Linked DNA regions of Tamandua tetradactyla. The protein of the gene in region 1 purifies or fractionates together with the protein of each later gene. This does not show direct contact. Links are inferred from orthologs where the notes say so. Each region holds a gene or a part of one and is shown in the gene's direction. Other genes may lie near its edges.

What was found. The genes of interacting proteins can lie anywhere in the genome.
Region 2: the proteins of FOSL2 (region 1) and ATF7 purify together in Homo sapiens (affinity purification with mass spectrometry; 3 studies listed by BioGRID and IntAct, counting the BioPlex papers as one, with this or other methods). This does not show direct contact. The link is inferred for Tamandua tetradactyla from reciprocal best matches to the Homo sapiens genes FOSL2 and ATF7.

Annotation. Positions count from the first base shown.
Region 1 is NC_135329.1:12,552,295-12,560,300, forward strand, and holds the start of FOSL2 (fos-related antigen 2), read left to right. Parts: upstream 1-5,004; 5' UTR 5,005-5,107; coding exon 5,108-5,206; intron 5,207-5,561; exon of another isoform or gene 5,562-7,353; intron 7,354-8,006.
Region 2 is NC_135333.1:115,066,726-115,074,159, reverse strand, and holds the start of ATF7 (cyclic AMP-dependent transcription factor ATF-7), read left to right. Parts: upstream 1-4,427; 5' UTR 4,428-4,593; coding exon 4,594-4,719; exon of another isoform or gene 4,720-4,784; coding exon of another isoform or gene 4,785-4,823; intron 4,824-7,434. UniProt on the Homo sapiens protein: Stress-responsive chromatin regulator that plays a role in various biological processes including innate immunological memory, adipocyte differentiation or telomerase regulation.

The DNA of each region.
Region 1 (8,006 bases):
CCCCACCCTCTTTCACTAGCCACCCTTCCGTGTGTTGTCCCTTCCCTCCCGGCAGGCAGGACTGCTTTGGCAGGACCTGGGGGAGAAGTCCAGCATTTTCTCCTGCCTCCCTCCCTGCTTCAGCAGCGTCTCTGGCTCTCCACAGCGGCAGCCCCACTCCCCCGCCCCGGGGACAGCCTGTCTCCCATGGTCCCAGTGCTCAGTAGGCTGGAGGATTTCTGTTCCCTTCCCTTTTCCTTTCAACCCCAGGGCTGGACCCCGCCACATCTCTGCAAGGAGCTTCTCCATTCAGGTTTTTTCCTTGGACCCATCCGGGTTGAAGCCAGTTTCCTGATGGAGCCCTGGCAGACCTGTGGACAGACAGAAACACTTCTCTATTAAATAGTCATTGGTTAAGACGCATTGGCTTTCAGAAATGCTAAGACATGACCAAAATGTACGGTTACTATAGACAACCGATGACAGCCACCGTCAGGCATGACAGATAGAGGACAGGGAATCAAGATGCAGAATTGTCTTCTAACCTTGAGAGGTTGGAGTGTAGGTAAGGGGCAGAGGGCTGGATTTAGAGGCAGGTAAGCTAAGTTCCAGTTCAGGCTCCGACCCCCACTGGCTAGAACCCAGTCAGTGGCTTTGCCATGCCATCCCCTGCCCTCCTCTTTGGCAGTCACTGACCGCTGTCCACATCCCTTGCAGGGCTGTCCTGGTGAGGACAAGTATGACCATGCCCTGTAAAGGGGCTTTATGAACATGTGGCACTCAGAAGTGTGCCCAGTGCAGCCGCGAGCCGGACGCACACCACACTGGGAGTTGTGTCATCTCCTGGTGTTACTCTTGGGGACCAAACTTTGGGCTGGATGGACACATGAAGAAACTGGCAAAAGTGTGGCCGGCTGGTCCTGGAGACCCAGCGAGGCGGCAAGAAGATGGTCCAAACCACATGTGGCCCCCCATTCCTCTCCTTCCCTTCCCTCGCTTGACATCACCCCCTTCTTGAACTGAGCGATGGTACCGGACTGTTTATTTAAGAGGGGCACCTCGAGCCCTGAACCAGATGAAGTCCATGCTTTCAGGAGACCCATAAAACAGAAACGAAAAGACCCCAGCAGGCGGCAGAGGATTCATTCCATGTCCTGGGTGAGAGGAGGATGGCCTGGGCCCGAGAGGCCCAGCTGGGCTTCCGACTGGGTCACTAACCTGCTACAACCAGTTTCCCTGCACAAGCTGCTTAATGTCCCTTTCTCCCTCTGCAACTGGGAAATGATGCCCACCTCCCATGGCTGGGTGAGCACTACATCAGACAATCCCTCTACAACAGACAATCCCTCTACAACATTCCACGTGCTGTCTGCCTCTTGGTGAATGCACAATAAATGTCGGGCTCTATCTTCCTTGTTATTCCAGGCGGCGGGGGGGGGGGGGGGACCTCCACGAGGGCCTCTTTCTGACCGGGCGATCCTGCAATGGTTCCCGTCGGAGGGCGCAGAAAGCAGGGCTTGCAGACGAAATGCTCCGATTGGCATAGACAGTCCGGCTGAGGAACCCACTGGTTCGCGCGGTCAGTCCTGCCACAGGGGCAGGACGCAGCTCTGCGCGTCGGAGGACCGCAGCGGGAGGATAGCAGACCTCCCGGCGGGCGGTGGGAGCCAGCGCAGGCTGTGGAGCAGGGGAAGGCGGGATCAAAGCGCTCTGAGGCAGGCCGGGGGTGCACCAAGGAGATGGCTGCCTACTTGCATCAGCACAGATTCCATGATGCTCTGCAGACGTCTCGGGGCTGCTGGGCTTTACGGGAACCCACAAGAAAGGAAAGGGCCGAGGGTGCGGGCAAGGCGGGGGCGGGCGAGGGCGCGAGGATGCGCTCGCCCGCCTGCACCCAGCGGCGCCTACCGAGGCATGGGCGCGCCCGGGACCGCGGAGGCCACGGTGGACGCTCCCGCTCCCCTTCCCCCCTCCTTTTCCCCACCCGGCGTTACTGGAAGGATCGTGTGGGAGAGACCCAGAGGCACCCGGATTTTCGAGCGCGGGGTGGGGGAGGGCCGGGCTGCCGCTGCCGCTCAAACTAAAACCAAAAGTGCGTCTGTTCCCGCCGCTCCGACACGCGGCTGCGCGGGGGAGGGCCCCGGGCGCACCCGCCGCTCCTCCCCTCGCAGCCCCCCAAGCTCTCGCTAGGGTGCCTGGAGGCCCTCGTGGCCTGCCTTCCCCGCGCCTGGGGGCATTGGGCACGGGGAGGGGGCGGAGAGACGAGGGGAAAACGTATCACGATTTCTTCTTTTGCACTCATCCCCACCCCCACTCTGAGTTTTCTGCGCTTTGCTGCTGCCGCTGAGGACAGAGCTGATCCGTCTTGCGTCAAAGGCCTGCATTTACTCAGTCCTGCTGGGAAAGGCGCGTAAACACCCAGGCAGGCCAGAACGCAGGGATTTAAAAAACAACAAAACAAAAGAAACACCCAGCACCCACGCGTTCACCCGCCCCACCCACACCCGGGCCCGCCGAGCTGGGGACCCCGGGTGGAGCGCGGCGGCCGAGGTGCGAGGAGTCTTTGGACGGCCTCGCCTCGCTGCGCGCGTCCTTGGGGATGGAGCTCAGGACAGAATGTGTTTTATAATTGTAAACAATGACCCCGAGTATTGTTCGGGATTACCGTATCTTGGGGCCATTAAGGCGACCAGATGCCGCCAGCCGTCCCGGAAACGCCTGCGCTTTATATAGAGCCCCGGGAAAGCTTCGAATTCCCGCCTCTATTTTTCTTTCTTAGCAACACCTCCACTTTACAGATCAAGAAACTGAGGGCGGAACTGTGGTGGGTCAGAGCGCAGAGCGTTTAACAGTCTGTTAAGGTCCTCTCAAGGACCCTGTGGCGTGCACAAGGCGCCACTTAGTCGGGTAAACCGAGGCTAAGGCAGAGGCTGGATCAGGACCCACGTCCCTTCACTCCTAGAACCGTGCTTCTGCGCTCACACGCCATCATCTCTGCAGAGGACTGAGGAAGCTCCAGCGCTGACAGGGGCCTTAGAAAGTCACCTGGCCCAACGTATTCGATTTACAGTGGGAAACTGAGACCCAGAGAGGTTCGGGGACTCGTCCAAGGTCTCACAGCACGTAAATAGCAGAGTCAGACGTTCAGACTCCAAAGCCGGGGCTCTTACGCTGCGCCTCCCCCCGCCCCGCCCAGCAAGGCGGGAAGACCCAGGAGTCCCGACTACCCGCGCCCCAAACTTCGCTCCAAACAGCTGAAGACTGTGTGGGGACACACCCTCTCGCCGGCCTCCCTCCTCCTCTGCTTTTTTTAATTAACAACCTGCAGTTTGCCCAGTTCCTCCTATTAGATGCGTTCTAATTGTCCGGTATGGAGGGCGGTCGGAATGTCTTGACAGGTTAATTTCGGCTTCAAGGCTACTCCTAACAAATTAACCCGAGCGCTGGGGGACAAAAAAAAAAGGAAAAAAAGAAAAAAAGCAGCAGTGGGCAGCCCGCCACCAAGGGCAGAGAGCTGGCAGCCCGACCCCGGCGGCCCGCGGCGCCGCGCCCCAAGGCCTGGCCGCAGGGCGGCGCGGGTAGCCTGGGTCGCCTGCCCGCCCAGGGCGCCGGGACACCGGGCGGCGCCGCGGAGGGCGCGGGCCACCGCGCACGGCCGCGCCCTCCCTGCCAGCGGCTGTGCGCGCCCGGCTCCCGGCCTCGCGGTGGCGCCTCCCGAAACCCGCCCGCTCGCTCCTCAGGGCCGTGATTCAGTTTTCAGGCGCAGCGCGGCGGCCCCGAGCCCCGGCCCGGGCGGAGGGGGGAGCCGGAGCGGCGCGCTCGGGAGCGGGCGAGGGAATCCCTCTCCCTCCACGTCACCCGAGAGCGAGGAAACCCGCACTCACGTCCTCTAACGCAAATGACCATCTTTGGCAACGTGCGCCAATGGAAGAGACCAAGGGCTCTGGGCCTGGGGGTGGGGAGGGGATGAGGACAGGGTGGGGAGAGGACCCGGGTGCCTCGGCTTCCCCGGACCGCGCCGCGGACTCGCGGCCGAGGCGCCGCCACCTTCTTCCTCTCTTGCTCCGGGGCAGGCAGCTGGCGTCCGAGCGGCCCGCCGTCTCCCGCTTCCCTTCCTCCTCCGCGTCCTCCTCCCTCCCCCTCCCCCTCCCCCTCCCGCCTTTCCGGGCGCGCTCCTCCCTGCAAGGTGGAGTCGGGTTGACGTGAGTGAATCCACATGGTACGGGGGCTGGATAATAAAGAGTGTGGAGTTGAACTCGTGCCACTGTAGTGACTCATCTCGGGCAGAGCGCAGGGGCTCCGAGCGAGCGGCGCTCGGCGGGGAGAGCGAGGGAGAGGCGCCGGCGGGCAGAGGCAGGGCCCGCGAGGCGACGGGCGAGGCGCGGGCGCCGGGAAGCAGTGCGGGTGTCTCCGGGAGCTGGTGCTGGAGCCGGGCCCGCGTCTCTCGCCGCCCGCGGGCTGGGCTTGAAGTTCACGGGCGTGCGTGGCCGCCGGCGCGCCAGGGGCCCGGGACGCGCGCGGGCTGCTTTGCTCCTGCTGGCCAAGTGTCCGGCAGCCCCGAAAGGCAGGCGGCGGGTCTAGCCACAGGAAGTTTATGGTCGGGCCCCTTTTCGAAAAGGAGGAAATAGAAGTTTCTCCACCAAGGGCAGCCTTTCTTTTCTCTCGCTCTCTTTCTTTTATTTTTATTTTTAGTTTTTGATCGCTCTACAATCTGGGGCTCCCACACTCGGCAGGCAGGGCTCGAGGAGCTCCCATCCTTTTTTAATTCCCACTTTTCGATTTGGACGTCGGTCCCGGCGGGGGCGGGAGGGCGCGAGCAGGGGAGGGACCGACGGACGCGCAGACTGGTTAGAGGGAGGAACCGGGTGGACGGCTGGTCCCGTGGCGCTTCGAGGGCCGCAGAGAAGTTGGGCGAGAGGCGCTCGGGGGGTCCTGCCTCGCAGAGGTCGCTGCCTCGCCCTCCGCGCCCGCGCCCGCGCCGGGTGCCCCGGGGGAGAAGCGTGAGCGCCCAGGCCAGACCCCGGGGCGCGGCCGGCGAGCCAGGGAGCGCGCAGCAGCCAGTGCGCGGCCGCGACGAGGGCGGGGGAAGACAAACACCCTGTTTCCTCTCGGGCTCCCACCGCGGATCATGTTCCAGGATTATCCCGGGAACTTTGACACCTCGTCCCGGGGCAGCAGCGGCTCTCCTGCGCACGCCGAGTCGTACTCCAGCGGCGGCGGCCAGCAGGTAGGTGCCGGCCTCTGGTGCACCTGGCGGCGCGGGCGGACCCCCCGCCCTCCTCTCGCCGCCTCTGCCTCTTTCTCTTTCTTTTCCTTTTCTTGTCTTTGCGAAGAAATACCTGCGGCCCGCCGTTCCAAGTTCGGGATTCTCATCCTACCTAGTTCTCCCACTTTTATTATTATTATTTTTTTAAATCGGAGCGGGGAGAGGGCTTGAAAACCCCATTTTTATCCATCGCATCCAGCTTAGCTCCTATTCTGCGATTGCAGGTTCCCTTCCCAGGAGCCTGTTACTCCCGTCCCGGGGAACATCCACCCCCACCCCTACTCCCCCGCCGCCACCCCCACCCCCCCACCTCCCCGCCTCCACTCCCCCGCGCTCCCCGTGGTGGACAGACAAGGAAATCGGGAAATCTATGCCCCTCCAGTAAGCGAGGGGCCCGTCCTATGGGAAAGCCCTCTCCCCACTCCCCGCTTTCTCCAGCAGCCTTATTTCTAAAAAGGTGGGGTTTTTTCAAGTAATCCAGGACGGGGGTGAGGGTGGCAGCCCTGGGAACCAGGTGCGAAGGTCAGGCAGGAGGAGGCCAGCCCTGAGTGACTCGGTGTCTGCTTGCGGGTCCCTGAGTCCATCCCCTATATGGCCCCCCTCCGGAAGGGATGCCTTGAGAATCTGGGGGTTCTCTGGGCAAGAGGCCCAGAGAGAAGTGAAGGAAAGAGACCTCGCTTAGGCTCCCGGATAGTCCTGGGAGAAGAAAACAACTTGTTTCTAAAGCAGCCGGACTGGTTTGCGCTGGAGGGATTGTGTGTGCCCTCTGCGTGTCTATAAATACCAGAAAGTGCTGCTGGGGTGGCGGCGGCGGTGGTGGCGGCGGTGGGGTGCCTACTGGGTGGGGTTGGCAGCCAGTCTTCAAGCCCCAGGACAACCTGAAGCCCACCTTGAGCAGGATCTATGATAGCCTTAGGCAAGTTGGGTAGAGGAGGAGCGACTCCAGGAGGGCCGTGGACTTGACCTCTTGGAGCCAGCCAGGAGGGGTGGGGTCGTCCCATGGAGAGGTGCAGCCGGTTGGGGGATAAAGTGGAAATATGGCTCTTGTTGAGACCTGAACCAGGCTACCTGCCGTACCTGGAGAGTCCCCAGAACGGCTCTTCCTTTTCTTCCCTCTACCTCCTCTGCTGCCCCCATAAGCATCCACATAGAGAGCCCAGTTTGGAGTCTGCACATTTGACAGTGCAGCCGGGGGCACCGTTAATAAGGGACCGAGGGTTTGAATAGGAAATCTTATCTGAAAAGTGATTCATTGTATCTGCTTTCCAGCCATGTTGGTGTTTTTGTTTTCGTTTTTAAAACTGAATGTAAACGTCACTAGGCAGTGACTTGAAGTCATTTGTACCCCTTCCCTCTGACCCCCGGAACGCCCCTCTCCTCTTCCCCTCACCAGAGGGATCTTTTGATTTCTTCCCTGTTGCTTTAGCTGCGTTCCCAGGACAGTGAACATTTAAATGTTCCATTCCCGCCACCTGGCTGCAGAGCCTGGGGCCTGTGTGGGAAGCCAAGTCTGGACACCAGTGCCCCAACTGAGTAATCTGTGTCACTGGGGCTTGGAGCCCAGGATGTGAGTGGAGGCAATTCCCTGATTTGGAAGAAAATCAGACAGGAAACCAGTGCTAGGAAGAAGGAAAAGAGCTCACTCCGGCACAGTGTAATGGGGCCTCATTACTGAAGCAAAAAACAGCTGTTGGCCAATTCCTAGCATGCTGTAACACATGAGGATTTTGCAATTAGTAATAACCAGCGCACGGGGTTCTCGCCTGTACGCCTGCCCCTTCCACCAGGCAGCCAGCGAGGCTGCCTCCAGAGCAGAGGGACTGGCAAAGTGCTGCCACTTTAGACAAGTTTGTCTGCCCGCCTGATCCTGGGGGTGGAGGGTTTTTCCATCGCCTCTCCAAGTTTGAGCAAAGCTGACCTGAGACGCGTTTGTTATTTCACAAGTCTGTGCTGTGACTCCACCCAATCTCAGGCTCAAGGTAACTTTATTACATACCAGATAAAACCTGTAATCACTTTATGTGCCTCTGCTTCCTCAACCCGGAGACTGTCATGGCAGAGAGTGGCTGAGCTTTCCTCCTCTATGGCTTCTCAGAAGACTCATCCATGTAAGACCCTGGTTTTTTCTTGGGGAAGGGAACATTCTATTTTCCGGGGGGAGGGGAACAATATTTCTGGTGAGTTTTATTGTTGTTTATTCAACCCAGAGCTTTCCTTTCCTCTCCTCTCCAGCTTCATAAAGTTCGATCGTAACATACTGTCCGTGAGTTCCAGTGACGTTTGGAGGGGCTAGATAACTCATCTCAAAAGCGTCTGCTCTTGAATATGGCTGGAACTCGAAGCATGAAAAATATTTCCTGTTCCAGTTATAGTTTTAATCTCAAAGTTTGATCGTTGGTGATTTTGTTTTGGCCGTGATAGGTGCAGACATCTCCCCCTCCTGGATTGATTTATTTTTTTTCTTTCTCTTGATGTTGTTGTCTTCTCTCTCCTAGCTTTCCTAGGAAAACACGTCCTAGATACACGCACCGCCTGCTCACTTGGCTATTACGGTCTCAGGCTCTGGGCGTTACGCAATCCAGCCAGTTACACAAACATAGGTCATTTCATAACTTGTTTTCATCAGCTGGGCCCCCTTTTTGTAAAAAAGCAAACCAGAAACAAAACGCAGAATTTTTCCAAGGCCTCCCATTTGTCTCTTCCTCAGATAACTTGTGAAAATAAATCAAGGAGGATATTTCCCTTATTGAATCAAGGAGTA
Region 2 (7,434 bases), on another chromosome or scaffold:
ATTTCTTATGTATGACAAAATACTTATAAGTATATAGCAGAGAATTTAATTTCTCAATCTGTTGCATGTGCTAAATATTATGAGTATTACTAGGTGATGATCAGTTTTGTTTGAGTCATAATATGCCATTCAAAAGTTTATGGTATTCTGGGTCACGGTGGCTCAGCAGGCAAGAATGCTTGCCTGCCATGCTAGAGGACCCGGGTTCGATTCCCGGTGCCTGCCCATGTAAAAAAAATAAAAATAAAAAAAATTAAAAGTTTATGGTCTTCTTCCTGGCAACATGGGACAGAAATGCTCGAATGAGCTGAGACTCAGCACCAAGGGATTGAGAAAACCATTTTGACCAAAAGGGGGAAGAGAGAAATGAGACAAAATAAAATGTCAATGGCTGAGAGATTCCAAATAGAGTCAAGAAGCTATTCTTATGCATTAAATAGGTATCTCCTTTTTAGTTAAGGCATAACAGAGAGGCTGGAGGGAACTGCCTGAAAATGTAGAGCTGTGTTCCACTAGCCATGTTTCTTAAAGATGATTGTATAATGATATAGCTTTCCCAATGTGACTGTGTGATTGTGAAAACCTTGTGTCTGATGCTTCCTCTCTCTACCTTACGGACAGATGAGTAAAACATATGGATTAAAAATAAATAAATAATAGGGGGAACAAATGTTAAAATAAATTTAGTAGATTGAAATGTTAGTGATCAATGAAAGGGAGGGGTAAGGGGTATGGTATGTATGTTTTTTTTCTGTTTTCTTTTTATTTTTTTTTCTGAATTGATGCAAATGTTCTAAGAAATGATCATGATGATGAATATACAACTACGTGATGAAAAAAGTTTATGGTCTTTTTCTGACTTATGTTTGCAATGAATTATGCTTTGGTTTCGAGACATTCCATTAAAATAACTTCGTGGAACATGTAAATTGTTAAACTATTGCAAATGCATTCAAATTTGGTTTTTCTGTGTTCTAAGTACTCAAGTAATTTTAAGGATAAGACACTAAAAAAATGGGTTTATAATGATGGCTTTTCCACTTACTTGTTTGGCCAGGAGTAAATAAAGATGCTTTTCAAAGAATATTGGTTCTTAACTCTAACTTTTTGAATTTTTATTAATTAGCATGTTCATATACTAAAAGCTGAATGTGATCCATACCTTTATATTACTATGGACATTAAAAATTTCTCGGTGGCAGCTTGCCTAAGACTGTTTGACCTTATGTTAAGGAGTTAGATATTATAAATGTCGCAAGTGCATGATGTTTCAAGTTATTAATTTTTATTTATAAAAATAAAGTTAGTTTACTTAACATGTTCTCAGAGTTGACGATTGTTAAAAAAGCATAGAAAGGATACAATTATGAACTATTCGTTGTAGACAGTGTACTTGAAGTCTTTCAGTAGTTCCTGAAATATTTGGTTATTGAAGTTGGATCTAAGTGGGAAAAGAAAATAATGGTTACTTTTTTATTTATAAAGAATGCAACAATAAAATTAGATTTTGGCAGTCCTTAAAAAAAAAAAAAAGCAGTTGGAGCTGGTACAAGAAAGAAACAGAGAAACTGACCATAAGACTATTGAAATAATCCATTCTGAGGAGCAGAAAGAAGAAAGAATGGAAGAAAAGTGAACAGAGTCTGAGAACGTGTGGGACAACATCAAATGTACCAGTATACACTTGTGGGAATCCCAGAAGGAGAAGTGAGAAAGGGGCAGAGAGAATATTCAGAGAAACAATGGTTGAAACTCTATAAATTTAATTTAAAAAAGATAAAGATGCTCAATGGACTCCAAACAGGAAAAACCCAAATAGATTCACCTACCATTTTATAATCAAATGGTTGAATAGCAAAGAGATATATATTTGTGTGTGTGGGGGGGAGTGTATGGCTCGGGAATTGAACCCAGGTTTGATTACCAAAGATAAAAGAGGAAATTCTGGAAGCTGTTAGAGAGATGCAGCATATCTCATACAAGGAAGCCTCAATAAGTTTAAGTGTGGATTTATTAAACTTTTGCCTTGAGACAAAAAGGCAGTGGGAATACACATTTAAAGTGCTGAAAGCAAAAATACTGCCCATCAAGAATTCTGCATCCAGCAAAACTGTCTTTCAAAATTGAGGAAGTAGTTAAGACATTCCCAGATAGACAAAATCTGAGGGATTTTTATCACTAGACTGACCCTACAAGAAATGCTAAAGGAAGTTCTTTAGGCCGAAAAGAAAGGACACTAGACAATTGACTGAAGCCATATGAAGAAATAAAGATTTCTGGTAAAGATATTACATGGATAAATATAAATACTAGTTACAATTGTATTTTGTTCTGCAATTCCACTTTTATTTTCTACTGGATCTAGAAGGCAAATGCATAAAATGTAATGATAACTGAGTAATCTTAAACTCATAATGCATGAAGACGGAATTTGTGACAAGAAAAGATGGGAAAACAGAGGGGTCGAGAATATGACTTAGGTATGCTATTGGAGTTAAATTAGTATCAAAAGAAACAAGATTAGTATAGATTTAGAATGCTAAATTTAAGCCCCATAGTAACCACAAAGAAAATATCAGAGAATATGCAAATGTCTGCAGAGACAGAAAGTAGGGTACGTGTTTCCAGGGGTGAGGGTGGGGTAGAGGCAACGGGGAATTGATGCAAAATGGTGTAGAGTTCTGTTTGGGGTAAAAGGAAGGTTATAGTAATGGATGGTGCTGAGGATATTGCAACACTGTGAATGTGATTAATCCCACTGAATGGAATGCTTGGGAGGAGTTAGGAGGAGGAGATTTAATATTGTACATATGTTCCCACAATTTAAAAAGAAAGAAAAACTAAAGAGATAATGACAATTAACTGCTATTTGGGAGAAAACACCTGCATTCTTACCACCCAGATAGTCTGAGGATAGAGGAGATCCTAGACAGGAAGTTAAAGAACCTGAGTAACATAAAGCTGCAAAAGGAAGTTACCTGAGGGAGCAGAGATTGCATAGAGATTTGGAGTGAACTCTCCTTATAATTTATGATGAATTTTGAATACAGCTTTTGCTTCCCCTCAATGTTTTAAATGTTACTTCCTCAAAGAGGCCTTCTCACCATACCAAATATAAAGCTAATCGCTCACTCCTGGTTGCTTTTTCTCTCATTATCCTAGAACCCTGAAGCACTCATCAGTATTTGAAATATTTGTCTTTATTGGCTAATAAATCCCACCAGAGCAAGGACTTGGTCTTTCTATTCTTATGCCTGTAACAGTGCCTTACACAAATTAGAGCCTGTTAAGTATTTTTAAAAAAACTTTCTAAGTAATAAATATAGCTTGCCTTTTTATCCCCAATCAGTTTTCATATACATTATCTTAATCATTACAGCTCTGTGAGTAAAATGGGATTGCTAGCCCCAAGGTACAAAGGCTGAAAGAATCATCTCATCCAAGGCCATAGGGCTGGCAAATGATAGAAAAGGGATTGCTTTTGCCAATATATCCACCCAAGGGTAAGGGTATGTCAAACTACTTTGCCATTCATTCTGTGGGGTATATTTTTGCTTTCTTGCTAATGTCTACCAATGCACAATAATTTTACATTTTGATGATCAATTATCTATTTAAAAAATTACTGTGCCATTGAGGAAGTGATGATTCTGGAGAATAGTAGAAGCAACCTGCACTTTTTTCAAAAAGTCTCCAGTTTTTGCGGTTGAACCCTAGCTACCCCAGGCGCCCTCCACCCCCCACCCCCGCACCTCCCGCCTCCCGGGACGGTCCCCAATACAGTCAAACACACACACAGCAGAGATCAGGGCCATAGCCATAGTTCTCGAAGTGAAAAGTGCAACTACTCGCCTCTTTGAGACCTGCCTCGGTGCCCCCTTCGCATTTTTTTTAAAAACAGCTTTTTCGAGGTATGTCTCGACATATACATATATATATATATATATATATATATATATATAAAACATTCGACATATGTTTTTTAAAGTGCGCTCTTTTGAGATAATTTCATTTCCTAGAGAATTTGCTTCACCTTTTGGATCTCCACCACTCTAGGAGAAATTCCCTTTCCTTCTTTTCCCTCCTACATTCCGCAGCCAAACACCTGTGACCCGCGTGTGTCTCAACAGCTCTGCTTCCCGCCCCAGCCCTTTTCACAGTAAACCCAGCCTCTTCCTTTCCCGAGTCCCGCCTCTCTGCCCCTTTTCAACTCCACCCCTTATGGATCTCGCCCTTCCCCCTGACTTCTCGCGAGGGGCGAGCGCGCCTAGCCGGACGAGAGGAAAGTATCTGCACCGCTGAGGGGGGAAAGAAGGAGCTGGAGACAGTTTGTGGGACCCAACGCGGGCTGGTGGGAGGTGACGGAGCTATTAGCCGGTGAGTCCTGTTAACACTAGTTAGTCCATGGTCTGACAGGAGTCTTCCTTTCAACTCTGGCTTGTCCCAGTGTCCCAGGCCAGGATCTCCCCTCCCAGTCTGTTAGACTCGGGCGCTGAGGCGGTGGCCGGGCCCTGTCTGAGGAAGAGGGTGGGGAATGAACCAAAGTCGGCCAATAAGAGAAAAGGAAGTTATGATTGGCGGAGGTGAGCCCTAATGGGAGGCCGTCTTTACATTGCGGAGTGCCGCCCCTTTTCTCTCCTTTCTCCCGCCCCCTTCCTTGGTCGGGGGGCGGGCGGGGAGAGGCGGAGCCAGAGGCCTGAAGTGTGGGGAGAACTTGGGGTAAGTAGCCCCGGGGGGCCCAGGGCGTGGCAAGGAGAGGGGAGTTGAATCCTGAGGGAGTGGTAATGGAAGACTCTTGGAATGGAGGCGACTGGGAGAAAGGGGTGAGATACTGAACACTAACTAGGTTAAGGCTCAGAGCTTCTCAAAGCGAGGTTAGGGGCTTGCCATTGGGAAAGACAGGGGTTGATAGGTAGGAGGTGGGGATGAGTAGGAATCTTGATCAGGTGAAAACATGGCATTAAGATTGGCTGGAAAAATAGAGTAAAATATTTGGAAATGAGAGTCATGACATGTCGATCAAATTAAGAAAAAGGCTATCAGCCATGTTATCAGTGAGAAAGTATGGATTTGAGAAAATTAAGTGTGATTTTAATTTAGGAAGACTAAACAGGGGTGGGCTGAGTAGTCAAAAGGCATAGCTGTTGGAAGGGTATGAAAGTCAGGAGGAATAGGGGAGGTGGGTGGAAAGGAGAGGCTGTTAAATACAGTTCTTTAGGCTAGGTAGCAGAAAATGGTTGGGATATTGATTTACGGCTTCTAATGTGTATGGGACCCAGATGAGAGGCCAGCCTGCAGGAAAGCAGGGATGAGGGTAGAGAAGAAGAAAAACACTTTCATCACTTCTGCTCTGATTTCCTTTCTCTCTTCCTCTTGCCACATTTCACCTCCTAAACACAGGGATATGGGTTGGGACTTAAGCGGTCCAAGATGGAGCCCCATAGGGACTTATGTGTTGCTCTGAATTGCTTGTTATGTTCTCTGACTGGGATGTTTACTACCCAGGGCGCCTCCTACCTAGATTCCCGCTTTGCTACTTTCGTAACTAAAAGTTTGTTTTCTCCTTAACAGCGGATGTCATACTATCTCTGAGAGTCCTGTTATATGTGAGTGTAGGTTTGTGGGTGTGCAGCGTTTTCTCAGCAAGCTCACTTCTATGCTTAGAATTTTTGCAGTTGTGTAAGTAATTCTTGGAGAGACATCAGTCCTTATAGACATAAGCACAGAAAAATGTTTTGTTAGATGTGTCTTACCCACACACATTTTTGTATTTTTGTTAGATGTTTCTTACCCACACACATTTTTGAAGTTGTTCAGTGGATGGTTATGAAATTAGTATTGGTTAGCTTATATTTTTTGAAAAATATTTAAATAAAATAGACATTTCAGGAAAGTGAAAAATTTTCAGTTTCTTTCTTTGTATCGAGACTCAGAAGCTAAAGATATAATATTTTAGGACCAAGGTTGGGGAACTCAAATTCAGTTTGTACTTAAACGGAGGATGTAAGGTAAGTTGATGCTATTGCGAAATGTAACATGTCTGTAAGAAAAGAAGCTAAAGAAAAGTTTGGCAGCTGTACTAAGTAGTCTTACCAGTTTGTTCTTAATTCTGTACAACAAAGGGACAGGTTTTTTGCCTTTTGTTTGATAATTGTGTATCATTTAATAATGAATTGGAATAATACCACCAGCTAGTTAATAACTTCTTTACTATTGCATAGAATTTTTTTACATTAGTTTTTCTTCTCTTTTTGCTTTTGAGAAGCAAAAAATGTCTGACGTACCCGTAGAGAGAAACCAGGGTATGTAATTCTGTGTTCAGCTTTGGTTTCCAGCAACCATTTAAAGCTTTCTTCCAGGACCAGGAAGTTGCCCCTGCAGTTCATTGAGACCAATTAATTAATGACTTTTAGCATTACTTACTGAATTGGTTTCCAGTATTTCACTTTAAGAGCATTGGACATTCAAAACATTTTACAGTTTGCATGGCAGCAATGCAAAAAAATATCCAATGAAAGAGCAGTTTCTTGTTTTGTTATTCCACCCTAGAACTTGTTATGACTTTAACTTGGATACTATTTAATCCAAGACTTCCGCCCCCCCCACTAGTGTCACCAACTAGCAGAAAGATAGAGAATAATAACTGCTCATCTTTCAATCTGTGGATCAAAATTTACACCCTGTGGTTGTTTTGGAGTTGTAATTTTAAGCACCTTTATTTATATGCCCTTTAAATGTTAATAGCTACCTTTATTGTATCTCTTTACTCTTCCCACTTCCCACCCAAAATGAAAATTGTTTTTTAGCCAATTCTTAAGCTGTTACTTTACGTAAAGTAGTGTCTCTGGCTGTACCTGAACACAGCTGCTCTGAAGTTCTCACAAGTTCCCGTTTTGTGCCTGTCAAGTTTTCTCCAGGCTTCAGTGATGAGAGGGAGTTAGGGTTACAGCAGTGTCCTATGGGGTGTGATAAGGAGGAGCCTTCTCCTTGCAGGGAAGTTCTAGGTGGAGCAAATTGCACAGCCATGTAAATGTCTAATAAAAACTGCTCTCTTCTTGAGACTAGTTGACAGGATGGCATGTAATTGTTCCTTATCACATGATAAAGGTATTAAAGTTAAGGTAGGGATGTTGCTTCATGGAGGAAAACTAATGCAACATTTATTAAAAAAGAAAAAGCTTTGATTTCTTTTGGTGGTTTCTCTGAAATTGGTACTATGGTTTTAGAGTTCATGAAAAAGTCTTCAATCTTTTTAGAAACCTGTTAAAGAAAATAGTTTTTAAGCTTCCCTGACACGTACTCATTTGCAAATATTGCCTTCCCCTAAGAGACTAATTCAGTCTATTTTTTAGTTTGGAATCAAGTATATTCACAAACGTGAAAATACATCGTATTTGGAACCCTTTATGGGTGGACTTTTGAATGCTGTAAGGA